Linked DNA regions of Pelodiscus sinensis. The main gene of each other region encodes a partner of the protein of the gene in region 2 in a complex. Links are inferred from orthologs where the notes say so. Each region holds a gene or a part of one and is shown on either strand. Other genes may lie near its edges.

Region 1 (8,035 bases), on a different chromosome or scaffold from region 2:
CAGTCTCTCCACAGGCCCAGCTCCCCTGTCCCTTCTCCCACTGTCTCATGCTGCTTCCACTCTTTGGGCCCATTCCTGCCATCCCAGCATATTCTCCCTCATGCCCTTCCTGGCCCATTTTCCTGTCCCCCCCTCCCAGGTGCCCCCCGATAGGCCCCAAGCCCTGCCAGGCCAGGCCAGTTGACCTCTGGCACACCCGGTCCCTGGCTGACTGACTCACTCCACGTCCTGGCGCTCATACTGCTGCTGGCTGTACTGCAGGGGCAGTGAGGCACGGACATTGTTGTCCTGGAAGATAGGAGGCAGTGAGGTCAGCCCTGCAGGGTGCAGCGTCCTGAGCATACAATTCAGCATGGGAGATGTAGGAAGAACACAGCAAATGCAAGGGAAAGCACACCAGTGGAGCAGACAAGAATCCAAGAGTCCTTAACCCACCAGCTCATATTCCCCTCCCAGAGCTGGAGAAAGAACCCAGGTGTCTCAGTTCCCAACCACCCTTAGCCTCTACCTCCTTGCCACAGCAAGGGCTGAACCCAGGAGTCCTGATCCAGCTTGTTGCTACCCACTTCCCTACAGCCACAACCCCTCCCTGGTTCCTGCGGCCCATGCACTGTATGCTCTTCTCACCTGTGGAAAGTGACTGTATGTGTGTGGGGGGGGGAGGGGGGGAGGAATGAGAAGAGGATGCTGGATGGGTGAGATGGGAGCCCTGCAAGGATGCATGTTGGAGGACTGTGTAAACTGGGAGAGGGGGTGCGTGTGTTGGGAAAGCTATAAATGTGTCGCAGATTTGTGCCTCATAGTGGCAGGCGGGTGTTGCCAGGACAGCATACAGCATGTCATACAGGTGTGCATGGTATGGATGGGTGTTGCACGGATGCGTATCACTGGGCCAGGCATGTTGCATGTTGTAGTCATAGGCGTGGTAAGGGTGGGTTTGTTGTATCTGTGTATGCTGTAGATATGGTTGTTGTTATGCGCGTTGTTGGGCTTCGCGTGCATTACAGGCATCATTCGTTAGTGTGGCATCAAAGTTGGCATGCTGTATGGGTGTACAGTACATCATAGGCATGGTTATCAGATGGATATGCACCTTCAGAATGGACATGTGATACAGCTGAACATGAGAAGGGTGGATATGCTTGGGGTGAGCGGGCAGTCATTCTATAAGGGTGCACACCACAAGCATCAGATCGGTGTGCGTTATTGGCGTGGACAGGCAGGCGTGCTGTGTTGGTGTACGTGGTGGATGTCACATAGGTGTGTATTGTCTGGGTGCACAGGTGGGTGTGCAGGGTGTATGTTGTGGGGATCACAGGGGGATGCGCAGTCAGGGTTTCTTACCCGGGACCAGAAGATGGTGATGACGATGACAAGATGAGCTGTGAGGGTCAGGAAGCGGGCAGGCACCAGCCCGCTGACCAGCGCCATATGGCCCGTGTCCCTCACGTGGTCAGGGTCCTCTGGGCAGGTCTGACTGGGGGGAGCAAAGGTGTCAGACTGGGGAGACCAAAGGAAGCACTAGGCCCCCCACCATATTTCTGAGGAGTTTCCCCATCATCTCCCCAGTAGAGCCCCATGTCCATCACTCCTCCACCACCCCAGCTCCTTTTCCATCTCCATCGCTGCCTCCCTGTGGCGCACCCCATTTCACCCCATCCTCACTGCGTGGTGACATCTCCCCTCCCTCATGAAGTCCCCCCCCAATACCTCCCATATCTATTGCCCTACCCCCCCATCATCATCTCTGCATCACCATCTGCACCCCCATCCCCTTGAGACCTCCTTCTCCATTGCCCCCTCCTGTGGAACCCCCCCCCCCGCACTCTTCCCCCCCATGGAACCTCCCCCCGCACTCTTCCCCCCATGGAAGCCCCCCCCCCGCACTCTTCCCCCCCATGGAACCCCTCCCCGCACTCTTCCCCCCATGGAACTCTCCTCCCCGCACTCTTCCCCCCCATGGAACACCCCCCCGCACTCTTCCCCCCATGGAACCCCCCCCCCCGCACTCTTCCCCCCATGGAACTCTCCTCCCCGCACTCTTCCCCCCCATGGAACCCCCCCCGCACTCTTCCCCCCCATGGAACCTCCCCCCGCACTCTTCCCCCCATGGAACCCCCCCCCGCACTCTTCCCCCCATGGAACTCTCCTCCCCGCACTCTTCCCCCCCATGGAACCCCCCCCGCACTCTTCCCCCCATGGAACTCTCCTCCCCGCACTCTTCCCCCCCATGGAACCCCCCCCCCGCACTCTTCCCCCCATGGAACCCCCCCCCGCACTCTTCCCCCCATGGAACTCTCCTCCCCGCACTCTTCCCCCCCATGGAACCCCCCCCGCACTCTTCCCCCCCATGGAACCCCCCCCCCCGCACTCTTCCCCCCATGGAACTCTCCTCCCCGCACTCTTCCCCCCCATGGAACCTCCCCCCGCACTCTTCCCCCCATGGAACCCCCCCCCGCACTCTTCCCCCCATGGAACTCTCCTCCCCGCACTCTTCCCCCCCATGGAACTCTCCTCCCCGCACTCTTCCCCCCATGGAACTCTCCTCCCCGCACTCTTCCCCCCCATGGAACCCCCCCCCGCACTCTTCCCCCCATGGAACCCCCCCCCCCGCACTCTTCCCCCCATGGAACTCTCCTCCCCGCACTCTTCCCCCCCATGGAACCCCCCCCCGCACTCTTCCCCCCATGGAACCCCCCCCCCGCACTCTTCCCCCCATGGAACCCTCCTCCCCCCGCACTCTTCCCCCCATGGAACTCTCCTCCCCCCGCACTCTTCCCCCCCATGGAACTCTCCTCCCCGCACTCTTCCCCCTCATGGAACCCCCCCCCGCACTCTTCCCCCCATGGAACTCTCCTCCCCGCACTCTTCCCCCCCATGGAACCCTCCGCCGTGGGACTCCCCCTCTCATAGAAAAGAACCCTCAGCGCTCCCACCCGCGGCCGTGATCCCGCTTAGGCCCCCACGTTGCCCGAGGCAACCGCCTCTACGTGCATCCCTTGGCCTCGCCCCATAGAGAGAGGCGCGCCTGCGCGCTGGGTGGAGATGTCGCGAGAACTTCCCGTCTGACGGCGAGGACGAGTCCTAAATCGCCATCTTGTTTGAGGTCAGGAAGAGGGCAGCGGCCCTATGAAGTTCCTCTGTGGGAGGAACCGTTTCCATGTAGGGGATGTAGCTCAGTGGTAGAGCGCATGCTTTGCATGTATGAGGCCCCGGGTTCAATCCCCGGCATCTCCAGTTTTTTTTTTTGTTATTTCAGCCTCTAGCTGGGGGTGTTACCCTGGGAAGCCCTTCCCTGCGGCAGGCTGAAAAATGGTTTCGGTAAAGAAAGGATCCAGGGACAGTGGGAACGATTTATACCCAGGTATCCTCCAATCAACATGCAACAAAACGGTTTATACCCAGGTATCTGTCAGTCAGCAAGGGGCAAAATGGTTTAACAGACTCCCAGGGCTGGAAGAGACCTCAGGGAGGCATCGAGTCCCGCCCCTGCCCACAGCAGCACCAACCCAAACTAAACCATCCCAGCCAGGGCTTTGTCAAGCTGGGACATAAACACCTCTAAGGATGGAGATTGCACCCCCTCCCTAGGGAAATAGTTTTTCCTAATGTCCAACCTGGACCTCTCCCACCACAACTTGAGACCATTGCTCCTTGTTCTGCCATCCCTCACTACTGAGAACAGCCTCTCTCCATCCTCTTTGGAACCTCCCTTCAGGAAGGTGACAGTTGCTATCAAATCCCCCCTCACTCTTCTCTTCTACAGACCAGTGGTTCCCAACCTGTGGTCTGCAGACCCCTAGGTGTCCATGCCAGTACTGTAGGGGATCTGTGGAAAGTTTAGGAAAAGAAAAGAACAGGCCCACCACAGGACTGGGACTTTCCACCAGGCCATTATTGCCCAGGGCTCACTGTTCATAAGCAGTCACGCACACTCTGCCTCCCGCCCTTGAGACTGGATTTTGATACCTCAGGAGGCACAATCTGTCCTCCAGCCACCAGCTACACTGCCATTTACACTCCAGCCCTCTCCCCACTCCCAGTCCCACTCCCACAGTGGGGCCCAATCCTCACTTTCTTTTCTTTTCCTTTTCTTTTTTTTCTCCCCCAGGGCTCCATGCCCTGCCACAGGAGGAATGCCAGGGCAGGAGCTGCTTTGGCCAGGAGATCCCTCTCTCCATATCCTCTGTGGATGGGCTCAAAAAGGTTGGGAACCACTGATGTAGACTAAATAAGCCCAAATTCCTAAGCCTCTCCTCATAAGTCATATGCTCCAGCCCCCTCATCATTTTTGTTGCCCTCTGCTGGACTCCCTCCAAGGCTGTGTCTAGACTGGCCAGTTTTTCCGGAAAATCAGCCGCTTTTCTGGAAAAACTTGCCAGCTGTCTACACTGGCCACTTGAATTTCCGCAAAAGTACTGACTTACTACTGTAAGAAATCAGTGCTTCTTGCGGAAATACTATGCTGCTCCCATTCAGGCAAAAGTCCTTTTGCGCAAAACTTTTGCGCAAAAGAGCCAGTGTAGACAGCTCAGATTTGTTTTCCGCAGAAAAGCCCCGTTCGCGAAAATGGCGATCGGGGCTTTTTTGCGGAAAAGCGCGTCTAGATTGGCACGGACACTTTTCCTCAAAAAGTGCTTTTGCGGAAAAGCGTCCGTGCCAATCTAGATGCTCTTTTCCTAAAATGCTTTTAACGGAAAACTTTTCCGTTAAAAGCATTTCCGGAAAATCATGTCAATCTAGCCACAGCCCAAGTATTTATATCCAAACATCTGGCAGTCAACAACAAGTTAAATCTTTTTTCCTGCCAATCAGCAAGGGGAAAATTATTTAAACCCATGCCGCCTTCAATCAGCATTGGACAAATTGACTTACACCCATGCTCCCTCCGATCAGCAAAGGTCAAGATAATTTCAAACCAGCTATCCTCCAATCAACATACAAAGCCACACATCAGCAATTGCTCCTCACTGACTGCATAAGAAGAATGATTGAGTCTTGAGATTACAGGCAGAGGGCGGAAATCTAAAAAAATATTTTTCATCTATTTATGCTTTTGTATAGTAAATATTAAGGAACAGAATCTCTCTACATTCCCACCCTATCTGTCTATGTACTCCCCCGCAATGCCCTTTGATTTACCTACTCCCCTTTCCTTCCCCCATGTTCTTGCTTAGAAAACAAGAACCCTGAACCACAGCACCTCATCACAACCACATAGAATAGACTCTCTGCAGCAGACTGCAGAGATTATGCTTTTTAGGTAGCTGTGATGGCTGATTGGTTAACGCACTGAATTTGAAATCCCCTGAGATCTCCCTTAGCAGGTTCAAATCCTGTTTGTAGTGATTGGTGCTTTTGCTGGGAGAGACGAGACATGGAGATCTTGCTGACGGAGGGTATGTCTACACTACAAAGTTAGTTCGAACTAACGGACGTTAGTTCGAACTAAATTTCATAGGCGCTACACTAGTGCTCCGTTAGTTTGAATTTAATTCGAACTAGCGGAGCGCATAGTTCGAACTAGGAAAACCTCATTTTACGAGGATTAAGCCTAGTTCGAACTAGCTAGTTCGAATTAAGGGGTATGTAGCCCCTTAATTCGAACTAGTGGGAGGCTAGCCCTCCCCAGCTTTTCCTGGTGGCCACTCTGGCCAACACCAGGGAAACTCGTCTGCCCCCCTCCCGGCCCTGGACCCCTTAAAGGGGTACGGGCTGGCTACGGTGCCCGTGCCAGGTGCAAGCCTGCCAGCACCCAGCCAGCAGACCCTGCACCTGGCATGGATCGAGCCATCCACCCGATGCCCCCCAGCCCTCCCCCTCTTCCCGGGACCAGGCTGGCGGCTCCCGGGAGCTTGCCCGGGACCGCAAGAGGGGAACACCCACCTGGGCTAGTGCAGACATCGTGGACCTCGTCCTCGATCTCCGCACTAGGCACAGGAAAGTGGCCAGCTAGGGCAGGAGAGCTGCCAGCCTGGCCACCCAGGAGCAGGTGTGCAAGAGAATCAAGGGGGTCCAGTGAGACCCCCGACCCTGAGCTTACAATGGCCGTACTGGGTCAGACCAAAGGTCCATCTAGCTCAGTAGCCTGTCTGCCGACAGCGGCCAACCCTAGGGACCCTGGAGGGGATGGACCGAAGACAGTGATCAAGCCATTTGTCTCGTGCCATCCCTCTCCAGCCTTCCACAAACCTTGGGCAGGGACACCACTCCTACCCCCTGGCTAATACCACTCCATGGACCCAGCCTCCATGACTTGATCTCACTTCCCATTAAACTCTGTTCTAGTTCTAGCCTTCACAGCCTCCTGCAGCAAGGAGTTCCACAGGTTGACTCTTTGCTTTGTGAAGAAGAACTTTCTGTTACTAGTTTGAAGCCTGCTGCCCATTCCTTTCCTTTGATGTCCTCTAGTCCTTCTTTATGGGAGCTAATGAAGAACTTTTCTGTATGCACCCTCTCCACCCCACTCATGCTTTTAGAGACTTCTATCCTGTCCCCCCTCCGTCTCCTCTTTTCTAAGCTGAAAAGTCCCAGTCTCTTTAGCCTCTCTTCATATGGGACCTGTTCCCAACCCCTGATCATTTTAGTTGCCCTCCCCTCTCCCAGCCTCTCTCTTCCCCTCTCCCACCTCCTTTTCCCAGTCTCCCCCTGTTTTGTTCAATAAAGACAGATTCCATTTTGGAAGACATGTTATCTTTATTTTGTACATCAAGAAAAGGGGCTAGGGAAGGGTAAGTGGAAGGAGGTGAGGGAGGACTGGGCTGGCTCTGCGGGCTTCTGGGGGTGGAAGCTCTCCTGCAGCCCCCCAATTGCCCCCTCTCCCCAGATGGCAGCCTGCGGCAAGTGCAGCCGGGCTGATGGCTGAGTGCTGTGATGTGCCCAGTGTGGGTAGTCCAGGCAATCCAAGCCAGGACTGCTTTGCAAGCGGGGCACCCCTGAGAACTGTCTGTCCGGGGTGGGGGTCGGGACCCTTTAAGCACAGCCCTCAGCTAGCCTGAGACAGCATCTCCACGCTCTAAGTTCTTCTCTGATGCCCTGCCGGCACTGCTTCCGGCCATCCTTAAGCCCGGTTCAGAGTCCACTAAATGTGGACATGCTAGTTTGAATTAGCAAAATGCTAATTCGAACTAGTTTTTTAGTCTGGATCCGTTAGTTCAAATTAGCTTAGTTCGAATTAACTAATTCGAACTAAGTTAGTTTGAATTAACGTTGTAGTGTAAAAAAACCCTAGGGGTATTTTCTGGGCAAAATTAAGGATGTTAAGTATTGTGTAAATGACTAATCGAATAGTTGATGCATTTTTGCATGGACTATTTGATTAGTCGATAGGGCGGCACTGCCGCTTTGAAGTACCCTCCCCCCTTCTCTCCTCCTCTGATAGAAGCAGCAAGAGAGGGAGCGACTAGTTGACGAATCCTTAACATCCCTAGATGAAATGCCAAGCAGGCATCTATGAGCTGGACAGGTGGGTGACACAGTAGGCTGCGTATGGGTCAATTCTGGGGCCGGGGGAGTGAACCCCAAGTCGCAGCGAGGAGCTGGTGATTGCATCCCCTGATGTTCAGAGGCACAGGCCTTGGGTGGTCAGCGTTCAGGAGTCACTCTCTGATTCTCCTTCCACCTAACAAACCCTCCCAGTTGTGGAGGAATCCTGCCGACAGGCCAGGATTTAGGTGCTCCAGAGATGAGGCCGACCTGGTTAGGATGGGTCTGTAGCTGCAGGCTGGAATTGATAACTGCAAGACTGAGCTGCATTGGCATCATCTGACCTGGAGCAAACTCTACCATCATGGCACAGAGAGCCATGTGCTGCCAGCCCCCTACCAGGGCTTGGGCACCGATCCTCCATGTGAATCAGGAGTCACTCTGCTGGTGTCAGAAGTACTAATTTCCCTCTCGCTTACTCCAGAGTGACTCTAGAGTCCCTCCAAGGTCATCAGAGACACTGATTCCCCTCTCACTCAGCACAGTCTTTGGGACAGCATGTGGGCTGGACGAGGAGGGGTATTGGCCCAAAAGCTGCCATGGCACAGGC
Region 2 (7,502 bases):
TAGGGGTGGTGCCTGGGCACAAGGAATGGCTGCTTCACATGGTACCAGGTCTGGGAAGTGAATTAAAGTCTCTTTCCAAGCCGCTGGGCACCCCGGCGGTGGCTCTCTGCCTGGCCGGGGCTGATGCAGAATGAGGCTGCAGCTGGATCTAACGCCAAAGGACTGAGAGGCTGCCATCAGACCAGCCATGTAGGGAGCGAATGTGTGGCCTCCGGCCCCAGGCAATGTGTAGCCTTGTCTGGCCTGGAACAAGCCTCAGTACGAGTCCACCCTAGAGGGAGATAAACAGCAATGAGCCTGGCCATCACTAGCAAACCTGTGGTAGCTTCCAACCTCACCCTGAACTGGGCTCTGGCTAAGGGGAGCTTCCCTCACAACCCTGGGCAGTCCTGTCACCCCACTGGCTTCTCTCTCTCAAGAATCTGTCCTCATCCTGGGGAGAGGCAGCCCATCAGAGGAGAGGCATGCAGGTGAGGAAACAAGCAGGGGCAATCGGGAATGGCACCCAGAAGTCCTGATCCCTAGGCACATACAGGAACTGCCTGTCTTGGGTGTCAGCACCATTTTCTCTCCCCACTTTGCCCATCCCCTATTTATGCCCGCTCCAGCCCCAGAGCTTGTTTTCACCCTGAGATCCAGTCTCCCTCCCAGCCAGTTTGTGCACTCCAGCCCCTCTCTCTGCCACTCAATCTTCCACTGCCTCCCAAGGCAGGAGGCAGCAGGGGAGGGGTACCTGGAGAAGGAGGCCAGGGTGAGGATGCCCAGGAGCAGTTCGACGGCATAGAAGAGCAGCAGGATGGCGTTGAGGATGGCCTCCAGCCGCAGGGCGTAGGTCTGCAGCAGCAGGTAATAGGCTGCCATCACCGCTGCCGGGAATGTCAAGGCCAGGCTGATGGAGAGCGGCACCTTCCGCTGGCACAAGTTCCCTTTGGAGCCTGCCACATGGCACAGTGTGTGAGGCAACCGCTCCCCACCCTGCAGGCATCCATGCATGCAGAGTGCTGGGGAATGGTTTACACAGCCCTCTCCCCTTTAGGGAACAGGCTCCAATTCAACCCCAGGCAGGGGGCTGGGAATGGGACAAGGGCATTTCCTTTCCAGGGATCTGGCTCCAATCTGGTCTGGGCGAGGGGGCTGGCTGGCTCAGGCAAAGAGCTCTCCAGTTCTAGGCACTGATCCATCTCCAAGTTGTGAACAAAAGGGAGTTGTACTGACTGCTTGGCAGTCCACTGAACTCAGGGTACCAGCCTGGGCAACTTGCCTTGCTGTTCCAGAGCTGGCCATTAGTCCTAGGCACTCACCAAAAAATATCCGGGTGACTTCAATGCCGAGATAGAGGAAGAGCATGACCAGATCCAGGGCTAGGTTGGCAGAGGGGTATGGTAACAGCAGCCCTAAGGACACAAAAGTCACCTGTTTCAGGAGGAGCACAAGACCCTCAAACTTTCCCGCAAGTCTCATGGACAGCCCTAGAGAGGTCCAGCAAGGACACAGACAGGCTCATCTAAAGGTCCCAGTCCTTGCCCAGTAAAATGTTAATGACTTCTTTTTACACCTCCTTGTACTAGGGTTGTTAAATATTTGTTAACCAAATAGTCGATTAACCTCATGAGTTCCTATCGGTTAGTCAACTATTCTATAGTCTCCAGGCTGGGGCTGGCAGCCAGTGCACTCTGGCCCCACTCCCGAGGAGCCCCCTGCTACCACACGCTGCTGTGTCTCTATCAGAGGCAGCAGCATAGGTTGCCAGGTGGGAACTGCCTGCCACGTTGTACTGCTGCCTCTGATACAGAACTGAGCCGGGCTGCCTGGCATCTAATACGTTTTAAATGCAGAGCCAGAAGGGGGTAGGTCCCGGACCCAGTGCAAGCCAGGACTGAGCCAGGCTGCTGGCCAGCCTGCTAAAACATTTACTGGCAAGGGGCAGAAAATGCATGTAGTCTGTAGTATTAACCTATAAGCTTTTGCTTATTGGTTAATTTACTGTACTATTACAACCCTACCCTGCATCAGATGCAGCCCTGCGAGGGAGTGGGGCTGGCCAAAGCGTTTAAGTCAAATGACACTCCCCTGGGCTTGTCCTGGGATACCTGATGCCACAGCCCAGACAGCAGCCCCTGCTGCTAAAGGCAGTTCCATGGCCCTGGTGATCTGAGATGGCAGCCGAGGGAACTCACCTTTATAGACAAATATGAAGATCTCCAGGAGGAAGTAAGTGGCGTAATACCACCCATTAAGGAAGAGCAGGATTTCCAGCGGGGTGGAGGAGAGCTGACGGCCTGGGGGATGAACAGCATGAGTGGGCAAGGTGCCACTCCCCAGACAAGTCTGCTGGCCTCAGTCTTCTCCCAAAATGGGCAGAGGAAGCCAGAAGACCCTGAACTGCGCTAACGCCAAAGGTGAAAGTGAGTGAGTGTCGCCCCAGTGCCCTTGGAGCAGCCCAGCCCCCAGCTCCCCCATCTCCTGCCCTGAGCCCTCCCACTCCTTGGCCTGACCCCTGCGCTGGCTCCGTGCATGGGGTGGGGCAAGGGGAGGCAGGTGCCCCCCCCCATGGTGCCGGGGTTGGGACACATGCGCCCCTCCCCCCCCAGGAAAGGTCAAAGGCCACCCCCCTCCGATGGGGCTCACGTGACACCGCCCTGCCCCCCCCCCCGGAGGAGGGGCATGTGGCAGCCCCAGGGAGAGCAGGGACGTGGGGTCACGTGGCGCCCCAGCTAGCGGAGGGGGAGGGGGACGGACCGCCCCGAGGGTGGGAGATGGGGAGGTCACGTGCCTTTCCCACATGAATGAGGGTCACGTGGCGCCGCCCCCCCCCGCGCTCGGTGAAGGCTCCTGAGGGAAGGGGGAGGGGGAGGGGGAGGGGGGAGGAATCCGTAACCGCCCCCGCTCCTCTCCCCCAGCCCGGCACTTACTTCTGAGCGCCATCTTCCATCGCCATGGAAACTGTCACCCAGCGACATCGCTTCCGGGTACGCGGGCCGGCGAAGCGGAAGTGCGGGGGCCAGAGCGGCCGGTGCCCTGCGCCGCTCCGTCCGGCTCAGCCCCGCCGCTCTATGGTGCTGGAGGACCCGCCGGGCGCCGCGCCGCGAGCTCAGCCCGAGGCGAGCGAAGACTCCGCCCCCAGTGCTGGTTTAAAGGGGGAGGGGGTGTCTCGTGCCCTACCCCGCCCTCTGGCTGCAGGAGCTGGGGCGCTGTGCTCCCCAACATGAGCATGTAGCTCCCCCCCCCTATGGGGACCTGGACCTGGAGCCCTGAGCTGCAAACCCAGCTGAGGCTGTGGAGCTCCCTTGTTCTCATCTCTCCCTGCCAGTGGTCCAAGTGCCACTACCTGGGACAGCGAACCACACTAGGGCTAGGGCTACACTCGCAGCTTCTTGCACAAGAACATCTTGTGCAAGGGTTCTTGTGCAAGAAGTCTTGCTCAAGAAAACATCCCCACTGCCATGTGCGAGCGGTGCTTTTGCGCAAGAGCGCCCATGGCAGTGTGGATGCTCTCTTGTGCAAGAAAGCTCCAGTGGCCATTTTCTTGTGCAAGAAACCCCTGCCGAGCGTCCACACTGCCCTCTTGCGCAAGAGGGCTTACACCTGTTAAAAAAGAGCATAGCTCTTGCGCAAGAAGCCCTCTCTCACTACGCTGTACTGTAAATCTTCTTGCACAAGAGAGGGTGGGCAGTGTGGATGCTCTGCAGATTCTTGCACAAGAACCTGCCAGTGTAGACATAGCCTAGCTGGGTGGGCTACAGTAGCAGTTTTCAAGTACCTGAAAGGGTGTTAGCAGGAGAAGGGAGAAAAATTGTTCTCCTTGGCCTCTGAGGATAGGACAAGAAGCAATGGGCTTCAATTGCAGCAAGGGAGATTTAGGTTGGACATTTGGAAAAACTTCCTGTCAGGGTGGTTAAACACTGGAGTAAGTTGCCTAGGGAGGTTGTGGAAGCTTCATCACTGGGGATATTTAAGAGCGGTTTGGAAGGGCATCTATCAGGGGTGGGGAACCTAAGGCCAGGGACCAGATGCAGCCCCCAGCTTGCTTGGATCTGGCCACCAAGACACAGGGGAAAGTGAAGTGTCTTTCTGCATCTTAGGTTTTTTTTCCTTCTCACTTGTGTGCAGCCCCCAACTGATTTTTCTGTGGGTCTGCAGCCCCTGACCCAAAAAAGGTTCCCACTCCTGTTCTAGATGGTGGTTGGTCCTTCTGTGAGTGCAGGGGGTTGGACTAGATCTTTCCAGGTTCCTTCCAGTTCTATGAGCCTATCAAAGAGTTAACACTACCATTGGCTCTTCCTCTGATCTGGGGGCTCATGGCTAATATTGGGGGCATTACATGGTACACACTCCCTTCATTGTCCCATATGAACCCTGATTTCCCATCAATTGCCAAACAGCAAGGCTGGTGACTACAGTACCACTGGCACAGCTTCTGATGAGTCCCTGCCCCCTCCTTCAGCATCCCAACCCTACTCCTCCATTGGTGTAATACCCATTGCTCACCAGTCCAGTGTTCCCTGTAAGCTGAAAATCAGGTGCCACCCAGCTAATTAGCAGAGCACCCAGTCAGCAGCATGTGTTTCTACTGGTGGTGCACATGTGTTTCTACTGGTGGAGACACTTAACAAAATGTATTCTGCATATGGATGAAAAAAAAAAAAGAGGGAACATTGCCAGTGACCCCCCCTTCCTTCTCCCCAGGCAGCATAATGGGGTCATCGTCCAACAGTCCTCTCCACTTCCCCCCATGCAGTGCAGCCCCACAGCCTGTCTGGAGAAAGGAAATAACATGGTTCTTCATTATGATATTTATTTCTAACTCCTGAGCTGTACTCCCTCTGCTACCCAGGCCCTTTCTCCTCGGGAATAGGCAACTTGGAAATAAAACAGTGCTGAAAACACAGTGCATTGGCAACCTAAAGGGAACCTGAGCTTATTTCTAATCTGAGCTCGTTAGGCTAGCAAGTGCTCCATGTTCTTGCCCTGCCAAGCAGGGCAGCAATTTTGCAGATGTCCACAATGCCCGCACCCCTCCCCAGCCCAAAGTCACTTCCCCACCAGCCTAAGGCTCTGGGAGGGAGTTTGAGTGTTGGGTGCAAGGGAATGAGGTGCAGGACATGCATGCTTTAGGAGGGAGGTGAGGGGTTGTGCTCTGAGTGTGGAAGAGTATCTGGGCTGCAGGCTTTGGGCAGGAGTCTGTGTGCTTGCGTACAGGCTCTGGGCTGGAAGGGAGAATGCAGGAAGGAGTAGTCTGGGAGTTGGAGGGAGTAGTGGCGGTGGGAGAAAAGACTGGGGAGGGGGTGGGGCAAAGGAGGAGTGCAGAGGGAGGGGTTGGGGTGCAGTGCTTACCAGGGGCACTCCTCTCTGGCAGTACCATCCCGGCAGCTTCCCATGGACCACACAGGAAGGGGGCAGTGTACAGAGACACCTCCCCTCTGTGGAGCCGCATGTGCCAGCAGCCACATGGAACAAGTGGCCAGAAGCCACTGTAGCCCTGCTGCACTGCCACTGGTAGTGGTGATGGGGGGGCAGTTTTAAATTGCCCAAGGGCTGCAGGTTGGACTGGGGAATGCTTCAGGGGAGGTCCACAGAGATGGCAGGTGGGATCAGGGACAAGACCCAGGAACATTCCTAGTGCCCAGACTCCATGTACCCATATAACTCACCACCCATGCTTCCAAGACTGAGTAGCATGGGATACATGGGCTGTATGTTACAGTGCCATTCCCAGTCCACACCTCTGCCCTGGCCTTTACTAAGGCTCTGCATCCTTCAGATGCAGAATGGCAGAGGAAATCAACCCATGCAGTAACACCTACTGTGCAGATGGCACACATACTGCTAGTCAGGGTGACAGGGTATGATCTTATTGTCTTCTGCTTAGATTGTCAGCTCTTTTGGGGCGGTGACCATCTTTGTTCTGTGTTACTATAGTGCCTAGCTCTGCAGGGCTCTGATCCATGACTGGGGAATGACTAAACACCACAGGCAGCTCAGCAGCTGCAGGGAGGGTGTCCTGGCCACTGGGCTCCTGTCCCCAGTAGAATTAGCTGCAATGTGGGCTAGGACACAATAATGCTGGAGCGAGGGGGAGCATAGTGGGGCATATGCCCTCAGTACAGTACAGGGCCTGGGGAAAGGAGGGTGCACCCAAAAAATGCAAACACACAAGGAGGTTTCTGGAAAAGGGAGCCAATTTACTGTCTCATAACTTATAAAAATACGCAGGTACAAAAGGAAGTTCTACCACCAGGATAGAGTTCCCACAGGTACAGCTAGGGCAGGCTGAGTCCTGGCACCTCATCCCACCAGATATGCAAAGCAGAGCTGAAAGGGGTTGATACCAACAGGACCCCATTGGTCAGCCGGCAAGCAAGCTGTGTGTAGGGCTGGGGGTGGACTGTTCTGGATAAAGAGGAAAGGGGGCTTTGTGCCAGCCAACAGGGAGCAGCCACGGACCGGCCATGGCTCTGGGTCCGAGGGGAAGCCATCAGCTGCGGATGTGAGCAAACTCCTTGCGCAGCCATAGGGAGTCCTGGTAGAAGCGGGGGTCACCCAGGTGCAAGGCCGTCCTCTTGTAGAAGTAGCAGTACAGCACGGCCGCTGGGGAAAGCAAGAGGAAGATGAGACAGCTCAACCCGTTCAGAATGTCTTCACCCCTACCCCCTCCTCTGTCTGCTGGATCACCCCAGTGTGTCTTGCTGACCACCAGGGCAGGCAGAGCCTCATCGAGATCCAGCCCCCATGGGAAGGGTTTGGTACGGCTCAGGGGAACAGAGATGCCATTCCTTAACAAACCCCAGATCCCAGCCTGGGAGACAGCAGGGAAGGCAGATGGGGCCAGCTTTCTGGTAGCTCTCCCTGAGTCTAGGTGTCTGTGGGTGGTTGCTTGGGGGAGTTGAAGGGTCCAGAGCGGAGCTTGTCTCTTACCCAGCCGCTGGAACACAAAGAGGGCCTGCAGCCCATCTGTCCACACAAAGCGGGTGGAGTTTTTCCAGCGCAGGTTCTGAAAGAGATAGAGGGGCACAACGGACATTAAGGGCAGGAAACAGATGTGAGAGCAACTGTGCAGCCCCCCACAGAGCTCAGCACACTGGGTCCCTTTACCCACTTCCTTGCTCCTCTCTCCCAGGGGCTGCTCCATTCTGTCATTTCCTCCAGATCCTTAATGGGAAGCAGCTCCCTATGTCCAAAGGGTTAGAGGGCTTCCCCTAGTGGCCATGGGGGAGAAATGCACTGTCACTGTGGTCCACTTCCTAGTCTAAAGCAACCCTGCCCACCAAGAACAACCCCCCTCTGAGCCCATCCCTGGGGCCCAGGCATACAGAGGCCTCCTTCCACCTCCCTACAAGCAGGGATGCAAGTGCCAGGGAGCAGCTCCGGGAGCACACAAAGGTTAATCAGATCAGCGGATTTATACAGAACACCAAGACCTAGTCGAGCCTCCCAACACAGATCCTAGAAAATCCTCTTAAATCCTGCTGCCCAGTTAGGGCTCATGGGCAGTGCCAGAAAGG
Region 3 (7,107 bases), on a different chromosome or scaffold from region 2:
CTGAACATGTCTTACTGTCACAGGTAGGGTTGCCAGATGGTTTCAACAAAAATACCGGACACACTTAACATTACATCACAATCTATGTTATCAAGGCTTGACAAATGGCGGTGAAATCTACTCGCCAGCCCCGCAATGTGCATGCGCAAGACCCGCATTGTGCAGGCACATGCTGCTAGTGAACGGGGTGACCGGCTGAAATCTACTTGTCACAGGTGAGTAGAAACAGCGATTTGTCAAGCCCTGTATATTACATCTTATTTAGAAAATACCGGACATTAATATTTTCTTATTTATATTTTCTCAATTTGCTTCCCGAACAGAAAGCTCAAATACTGGACTGTCCGGGTCAAAACCGGACACCTGGCAACCCTAGTCACACGGTCTTTCCTGAAGTGCCCAGCAGCAGAAAACGGTGTACAGATGAAGAATTTAGCCTCTTCCTCTCACCTGTGATTTTTGGAGAAGAGGGAAGGCCAGGAACATAAGAACTGTTATACAGCATCAGCTCCGCTGCAAACCTCACCCAGTATTCTGCCTGGAACCGTGCACCAGTGCTCAAAGCTTCAGAACAAAATGCAAGAAACCCTGCCATGGATGATTATGGAATAAATCTCTTCCTAGACCCATGGACATTGGCTGTCTACTACATTATTGGAATTTTCCCAAATAGCGGAAGGGGGATAGAAAACAACTGCAGTTTATGAGATATAAAAATCAAAGTGTGGGTCAGCTAGAGGTCAGTGATTTTAAAATCAGATCATGCCCCTCATACCCTTAGGTTTGCATTTCACACTTGCATGGGGAAACTCTGACATCTAGTGGCCTCTAAGGGTGTGTCTCGACTACAGGTTTTTTTTTTTTTTAAAGTAGCTTTTCGAAAAAACTTCATCTGCATCTAGACTGCAGCCGCATTCCTTCGAAAGTAAATCAAAAGAATGCGGTAGTTTTTTTTCAATTGCGGTAAACCGCAGTATATGAGGTATAACGCCTTTTTTTGAAGTATTTTTTCGAAAAAAGGCGCTATTGAATGCAAACTGTGCTTTTTCGAAAGAGAGCGTCTAGACTTTCTTTCGAAAAAGCGGCTCGCTTTTTTGAAAAATCTGCTTGTAGTCTAGACGCTCTCTTTCGAAAAAGGCTTGTAGTCTAGATGTAGCCTCAGGCTCATCACATGAGCATGGCTCTGCCAGCCCATCTGAGTGGACCCCCCGCCAGGTTTGCACAGTCCACGCTACCTGGACTTCACTGCTGTTGTTATTCAAGCTAGCTCGATCAAAGCTAGCTCAGGTATGTATGTGTACATAGACTGCAATCACACCTCTGATGGCAGCATCCATATATTCTACTCGGTGCTATGGAAATCATTTGGAGGAGGTCCCTGCTGATCGGAATTTTCCATGGCATAGAAGCACTGCACCAGAGTCAAAGATGAAGGACAGAGACTACAAAGTTCATGGAACACAAGGCCCGGACCATGTTAGAGTAGTTGGCATAGTGTAGTGTATGGATCCTGGGTGCAGAATCCCCCGATGCAGTTGTACAGCTCCCAGTGGGGCCTCTAAAAAAGAAAAAACTGACTCCATTTCACATTTTATCAAAACTGGTTGATAAATATAGGAAATATTGGGGGGGAAAGATTCTCTCTAAAAATAACAAGCAGTCCTGTGGCACCTAAGCCCTGGTCTACATGGGGAGTTATTTCAAAATTACTCCCCTTATTTTGAAATAATAAGCGGTGCATCCACACGACCAAACCCGTTATTTCGAAATAATAACTCCTGCTTTTCACGAGGAAAAACGCTTCTTTCAAAATAGTTATTTCAAAATAATGGTACTTTGGATGCTCCACTGCTGCTATTTTGAAATAATTACTCCCCAGAGTAATTTTTAAGTAATTACTCCCCTGTAGGGAATAATTCTGGACACGCTGGATGCAGGTGAAAACAAGATGAGGATTTATTGTACACCAGCACTGGTGGAGTACCAACCAGGGGTTAACCTGGAGAGCACTAGTTAATGAAAATATTACATTGAATTATCTAGGCAGCAGGTGGGCGGAGTAGAAGCAATGTCATAGGTCCTAGCGGCAAGACATAATGAGCACATAAGCCAATAAACTACAAAGGTTAGACAGTATCTCCGCCCACCACCAATTAAACGTCTTATCAATGATACAGATAGTTATTCCTAACAAGCTAAATAAGCCAACATAAACAAAAGACATGTTGATGGCAACTTTGTTTGCTGTAATTAAGATTGTAGAATGATTACTGCTTCACCTTGGTGTGGTCCTTGGGATCCAGGTTTATCATCTAGAATTAAAGGAGACAGTGAGAACGACTTCCGTGAAGTTTGTTTTGGTACCGGCCAGGGTCTTATTGGAGCGAGGTCCTCTTGGAATGTGGTTGCCAAGGAAACCAGGGTCATGTTAGCTGCTTGTTCTGTGTTTCCAGGCCTTGCCTCAAATTTAGGATTTGAATGAGAGATCTTAGCAAGGTACCATGGACTGCTTCAGTTTACCCCTACATCCCCAGTGCTTCCTGGGGCTCCAAGTTGAGGTAGCACATCCACACAGAGGGAGCCTACCTTGGACTAATTTCAAGACTTCCCTGTAGGGTGGACACACTATTTCAAAATAAGTTATTTTGAAATAATTTCCTAGTGTAGCCATTTCAAGTAACACCCACTTCATTAGATGAGCTTGACTGGAGCATCTAAAGAAGTGGGTTTTACCCACAAAAGCTCATGATATTATATATTTATTAGTCTGTAAGGTGTCACAGGACTACTTGTTGTTTTTAAAGTTACAGACTAACACAGCTACCTCTCTGAGCCAAATATGACACGGCTACCTCTCTGTCAGATGTGACAAAAATATACACATCTGGCTACGCAAATACTCTTACTCTGTCCTTACCCTTCACTAATTGCTCATTATTGACAGGCGGGAAAAATTAAAAAACAATAACTGCCCTTGTACAATTAGTATTTTTACGAGTACGTTTGTTATCAGTCTCCTAAGGCAACTTTTCTGACTGTGCTTTCATAACTTATTTAAATAATTTCACTACCAAGAAAATTGGGGAAAATGTGAGGTCGGAGACAGGAGCATCATTAATCCTGCTACGGTCACACTTATATGGTACTCATCCTAGGAGTGATGTCATGTGTGGCATCTCTCGTGACTGGTAACAGCAGGAAGGCCACCATCTTTTGTTCACAGTCCAGCATGCTCAGTCATTGCTTCTGTTTGTCTTTGTTTCTGTAAGTGTGTGTGGGTTCTTTCTTCCTATGCTCTGTACATGTGTACAATGGTGTATTTTAGGGCGCATGCTGCTTTTTGGTTCATGCTTCACGTGATTGACTTTGAAAGTCACTGTCTCATGAATCTGGGTCAAATGGAAGGATACGTTTGTGTAATGGTGAAAACAGAAATTGTTTAAAAATAGAAGAAAATGCTTAAAAAGGAACATTAATCTTATGAAATAAACGAACGCAAATTCTGCCACGTCAGCTTGTAGCGTAGGGCTCACACTGGTGCCCTTTCCGTGCATTTGCAGTGGTGGTGTAGCCAGGGTGGAGACAGGATGTGAGAGACGGCACCCCACTTTCCCTGGGGAGGGCTCCCTCTCCTTTGGGGGCTGCCCCCCACTTCCCCTGGGGGGGCTCCCTCTCCTTTGGGGGCTGCACCCCATTTCCCCTGGGGGGGCTCCCTCTCCTTTGGGGGCTGCCCCCCACTTCCCCTGGGGGGGCTCCCTCTCCTTTGGGGGCTGCACCCCACTTCCCCTGGGGGGGGCTCCCTCTCCTTTGGGGGCTGCCCCCCACTTCCCCTGGGGGGGTTCCCTCTCCTTTGGGGGCTGCCCCCCACTTCCCCTGGGGGGGGCTCCCTCTCCTTTGGGGGCTGCCCCCCACTTCCCCTGGGGGGGCTCCCTCTCCTTGGGGGAGCTACTGAGCTGGGGGAGTCCCCTTCCCCTTCCTGGGGTGACGTGTCGGGGTTTTACCCCCGAGATTCCGCCCCGCCCCGCCCCGCCCCCCGCGCTGCGCTGGCAGGAAGTTTGTCCCGGCCGCCTCGCCGTCCGGTATCCAAGGCGGGCCGGGGAGAGCGGCCCCTAGCAACGGGCCGGGATCGGCCTCCGGCGCCATGGCAGCCGCCGGCGGCCCCACGGTCTTCCTGCTCATGGTGACCGGGCAGATCGAGAGCGCCCAGGTGAGCGAGTCCCCCCCGCCCCGCCCCGCCCCGGCTGGCGCCTGGGGGCCACGGTGAGGGGCGCGCTGGAGCAGCCTCGCTCCGGGCTCTCCAGCATGGATGGGGGAGCGTGGCCCTGTGCCCCCCCCGCACAGCCCCCCCCGGCTGAGAGCTCAGCCCCCCCCGCACAGCCCCCCCCCGGCTGAGAGCTCAGCCCCCCCCCCCGCACAGCCCCCCCCGGCTGAGAGCTCAGCCCCCCCCCGCACAGCCCCCCCCGGGCTGAGAGCTCAGCCCCCCCCCCCCGCACAGCCCCCCCCCCGGCTGAGAGCTCAGCCCCCCCCCCGCACAGCCCCCCCCCCCGGGCTGAGAGCTCAGCCCCCCCCCACCGCACCAGCCCCCCCCGGCTGAGAGCTCAGCCCCCCCCCCCGCACAGCCCCCCCCCGGCTGAGAGCTCAGCCCCCCCCCCCGCACAACCCCCCCCGGCTGAGAGCTCAGCCCCCCCCCGCACAGCCCCCCCCCCGGCTGAGAGCTCAGCCCCCCCCCCGCACAGCCCCCCCCCGGCTGAGAGCTCAGCCCCCCCCCCCGCACAGCCCCCCCCCCGGCTGAGAGCTCAGCCCCCCCCCCCGCACAGCCCCCCCCGGCTGAGAGCTCAGCGCCCCCCCGCACAGCCCCCCCCGGCTGAGAGCTCAGCGCCCCCCCCGCACAGCCCCCCCCCGGCTGAGAGCTCAGCGCCCCCCCGCACAGCCCCCCCCCCGGCTGAGAGCTCAGCCCCCCCCCGCACAGCCCCCCCCCCGGCTGAGAGCTCAGCCCCCCCCCCGCACAGCACCCCCCCGGCTGAGAGCTCAGCCCCCCCCCCCGCACAGCCCCCCCCCCGGCTGAGAGCTCAGCCCCCCCCCCGCACAGCACCCCCCCCCGGCTGAGAGCTCAGCCCCCCCCCCGACAGCCCCCCCCCCCGGCTGAGAGCTCAGCCCCCCCCCCCCGCACAGCCCCCCCCGGCTGAGAGCTCAGCCCCCCCCCCAGCACAGCCCCCCCCCGGCTGAGAGCTCAGCCCCCCCCCCCCGCACAGCCCCCCCCCCGGCTGAGAGCTCAGCCCCCCCCCCGCACAGCCCCCCCCCCGGCTGAGAGCTCAGCCCCCCCCCCCGCACAGCCCCCCCCCCGGCTGAGAGCTCAGCGCCCCCCCCCGCACAGCCCCCCCCCCCGGCTGAGAGCTCAGCGCCCCCCCGCACAGCCCCCCCCCGGCTGAGAGCTCAGCGCCCCCCCGCACAGCCCCCCCCGGCTGAGAGCTCAGCGCCCCCCCGCACAGCCCCCCCCCCGGCTGAGAGCTCAGCCCCCCCCCGCACAGCCCCCCCCCCGGCTGAGAGCTCAGCCCCCCCCCGCACAGCACCCCCCCGGCTGAGAGCTCAGCCCCCCCCCCCGCACAGCACCCCCCCCCGGCTGAGAGCTCAGCCCCCCCCCCGCACAGCCCCCCCCGGCTGAGAGCTCAGCCCCAGCCCTCCGCACAGCCCCCCCCGGCTGAGAGCACAGCCCCCCCCGGCTGAGAGCTCAGCCCCCCCCCCCGCACAGCCCCCCCGGCTGAGAGCTCAGCCCCCCCCCGCACAACCCCCCCCGGCTGAGAGCTCAGCCCCCCCCCGCACAGCCCCCCCCCCGGCTGAGAGCTCAGCCCCCCCCCCGCACAGCCCCCCCCGGCTGAGAGCTCAGCCCCCCCCCCGCACAGCCCCCCCCCGGCTGAGAGCTCAGCCCCCCCCCCGCACAGCCCCCCCCCCGGCTGAGAGCTCAGCCCCCCCCCGCACAGCCCCCCCCCCCGGCTGAGAGCTCAGCCCCCCCCCCCGCACAGCCCCCCCCCCGGCTGAGAGCTCAGCGCCCCCCCGCACAGCCCCCCCCCGGCTGAGAGCTCAGCGCCCCCCCGCACAGCCCCCCCCCCGGCTGAGAGCTCAGCGCCCCCCCCGCACAGCCCCCCCCGGCTGAGAGCTCAGCGCCCCCCCGCACAGCCCCCCCCCCCCGGCTGAGAGCTCAGCCCCCCCCCGCACAGCACCCCCCCGGCTGAGAGCTCAGCCCCCCCCCCGCACAGCCCCCCCCCCGGCTGAGAGCTCAGCCCCCCCCCGCACAGCACCCCCCCCCGGCTGAGAGCTCAGCCCCCCCCCCGCACAGCCCCCCCCGGCTGAGAGCTCAGCCCCAGCCCTCCGCACAGCCCCCCCCGGCTGAGAGCACAGCCCCCCCCGGCTGAGAGCTCAGCGCCCCCCCGCACAGCCCCCCCCCCGGCTGAGAGCTCAGCCCCCCCCCGCACAGCCCCCCTCCCGGCTGAGATCTCAGCCCCCCCCGCACAGCCCCCCTCCCGGCTGAGAGCTCAGCGCCCCCCGCACAGCCCCCCCCCGGCTGAGAGCTCAGCGCCCCCCCGCACAGCCCCCCCCGGCTGAGAGCTCAGCCCCCCCCCGCACAGCCCCCCCCCGGCTGAGAGCTCAGCCCCCCCCCGCACAGCCCCCCCCCGGCTGAGAGCTCAGCCCCCCCCCGCACAGCCCCCCCTCCCGGCTGAGAGCTCAGCGCCCCCCCCGCACAGCCCCCCCCCCGGCTGAGAGCTCAGCCCCCCCCCGCACAGCCCCCCCCGGCTGAGAGCTCAGCCCCCCCCCCGCACAGCCCCCCCCCCGGCTGAGAGCTCAGCCCCAGCCCCCCGCACAGCCCCCCCCCGGCTGAGAGCTCAGCCCCCCCCCGCACAGCCCCCCCCCGGCTGAGAGCTCAGCCCCCCCCCGCACAGCCCCCCCCCCCCGGCTGAGAGCTCAGCGCCCCCCCCGCACAGCCCCCCCCCCCCGGCTGAGAGCTCAGCCCCCCCCCCGCACAGCTCCCCCCGGCTGAGAGCTCAGCCTCAGCCCCCCGCACAGCCCCCCCCCGGCTGAGAGCTCAGCCTCAGCCCCCCGCACAGCCCCCCC

What was found. The genes of interacting proteins can lie anywhere in the genome.
Region 1: TMEM216 (region 2) and TMEM107 share a complex: the UniProt entries of both Homo sapiens proteins name them as parts of the tectonic-like complex. The link is inferred for Pelodiscus sinensis from reciprocal best matches to the Homo sapiens genes TMEM216 and TMEM107.
Region 3: TMEM216 (region 2) and B9D1 share a complex: the UniProt entries of both Homo sapiens proteins name them as parts of the tectonic-like complex. The link is inferred for Pelodiscus sinensis from reciprocal best matches to the Homo sapiens genes TMEM216 and B9D1.

The regions. Positions count from the first base shown.
Region 1 is NC_134734.1:10,821,085-10,829,119, reverse strand, and holds the start of TMEM107 (transmembrane protein 107), read right to left. Parts: upstream 3,062-8,035; 5' UTR 2,937-3,061; intron 1,478-2,936; exon of another isoform or gene 1,474-1,477; 5' UTR 1,432-1,473; coding exon 1,345-1,431; intron 289-1,344; coding exon 221-288; intron 1-220. UniProt on the Homo sapiens protein: Plays a role in cilia formation and embryonic patterning. Requires for normal Sonic hedgehog (Shh) signaling in the neural tube and acts in combination with GLI2 and GLI3 to pattern ventral and intermediate neuronal cell types.
Region 2 is NC_134714.1:125,525,059-125,532,560, reverse strand, and holds the start of TMEM216 (transmembrane protein 216), read right to left. Parts: upstream 3,061-7,502; 5' UTR 2,926-3,060; coding exon 2,913-2,925; intron 2,388-2,912; exon of another isoform or gene 2,280-2,387; coding exon 2,178-2,279; intron 1,395-2,177; coding exon 1,302-1,394; intron 937-1,301; exon of another isoform or gene 936-936; coding exon 734-935; exon of another isoform or gene 272-733; coding exon 256-271; 3' UTR 1-255. Other genes in the region: TMEM138 (transmembrane protein 138), read right to left, coding at 6,476-6,588, 6,916-6,991. UniProt on the Homo sapiens protein: Part of the tectonic-like complex which is required for tissue-specific ciliogenesis and may regulate ciliary membrane composition.
Region 3 is NC_134726.1:34,662,280-34,669,386, reverse strand, and holds the start of B9D1 (B9 domain-containing protein 1), read left to right. Parts: upstream 1-4,046; 5' UTR 4,047-4,141; coding exon 4,142-4,207; intron 4,208-7,107. UniProt on the Homo sapiens protein: Component of the tectonic-like complex, a complex localized at the transition zone of primary cilia and acting as a barrier that prevents diffusion of transmembrane proteins between the cilia and plasma membranes.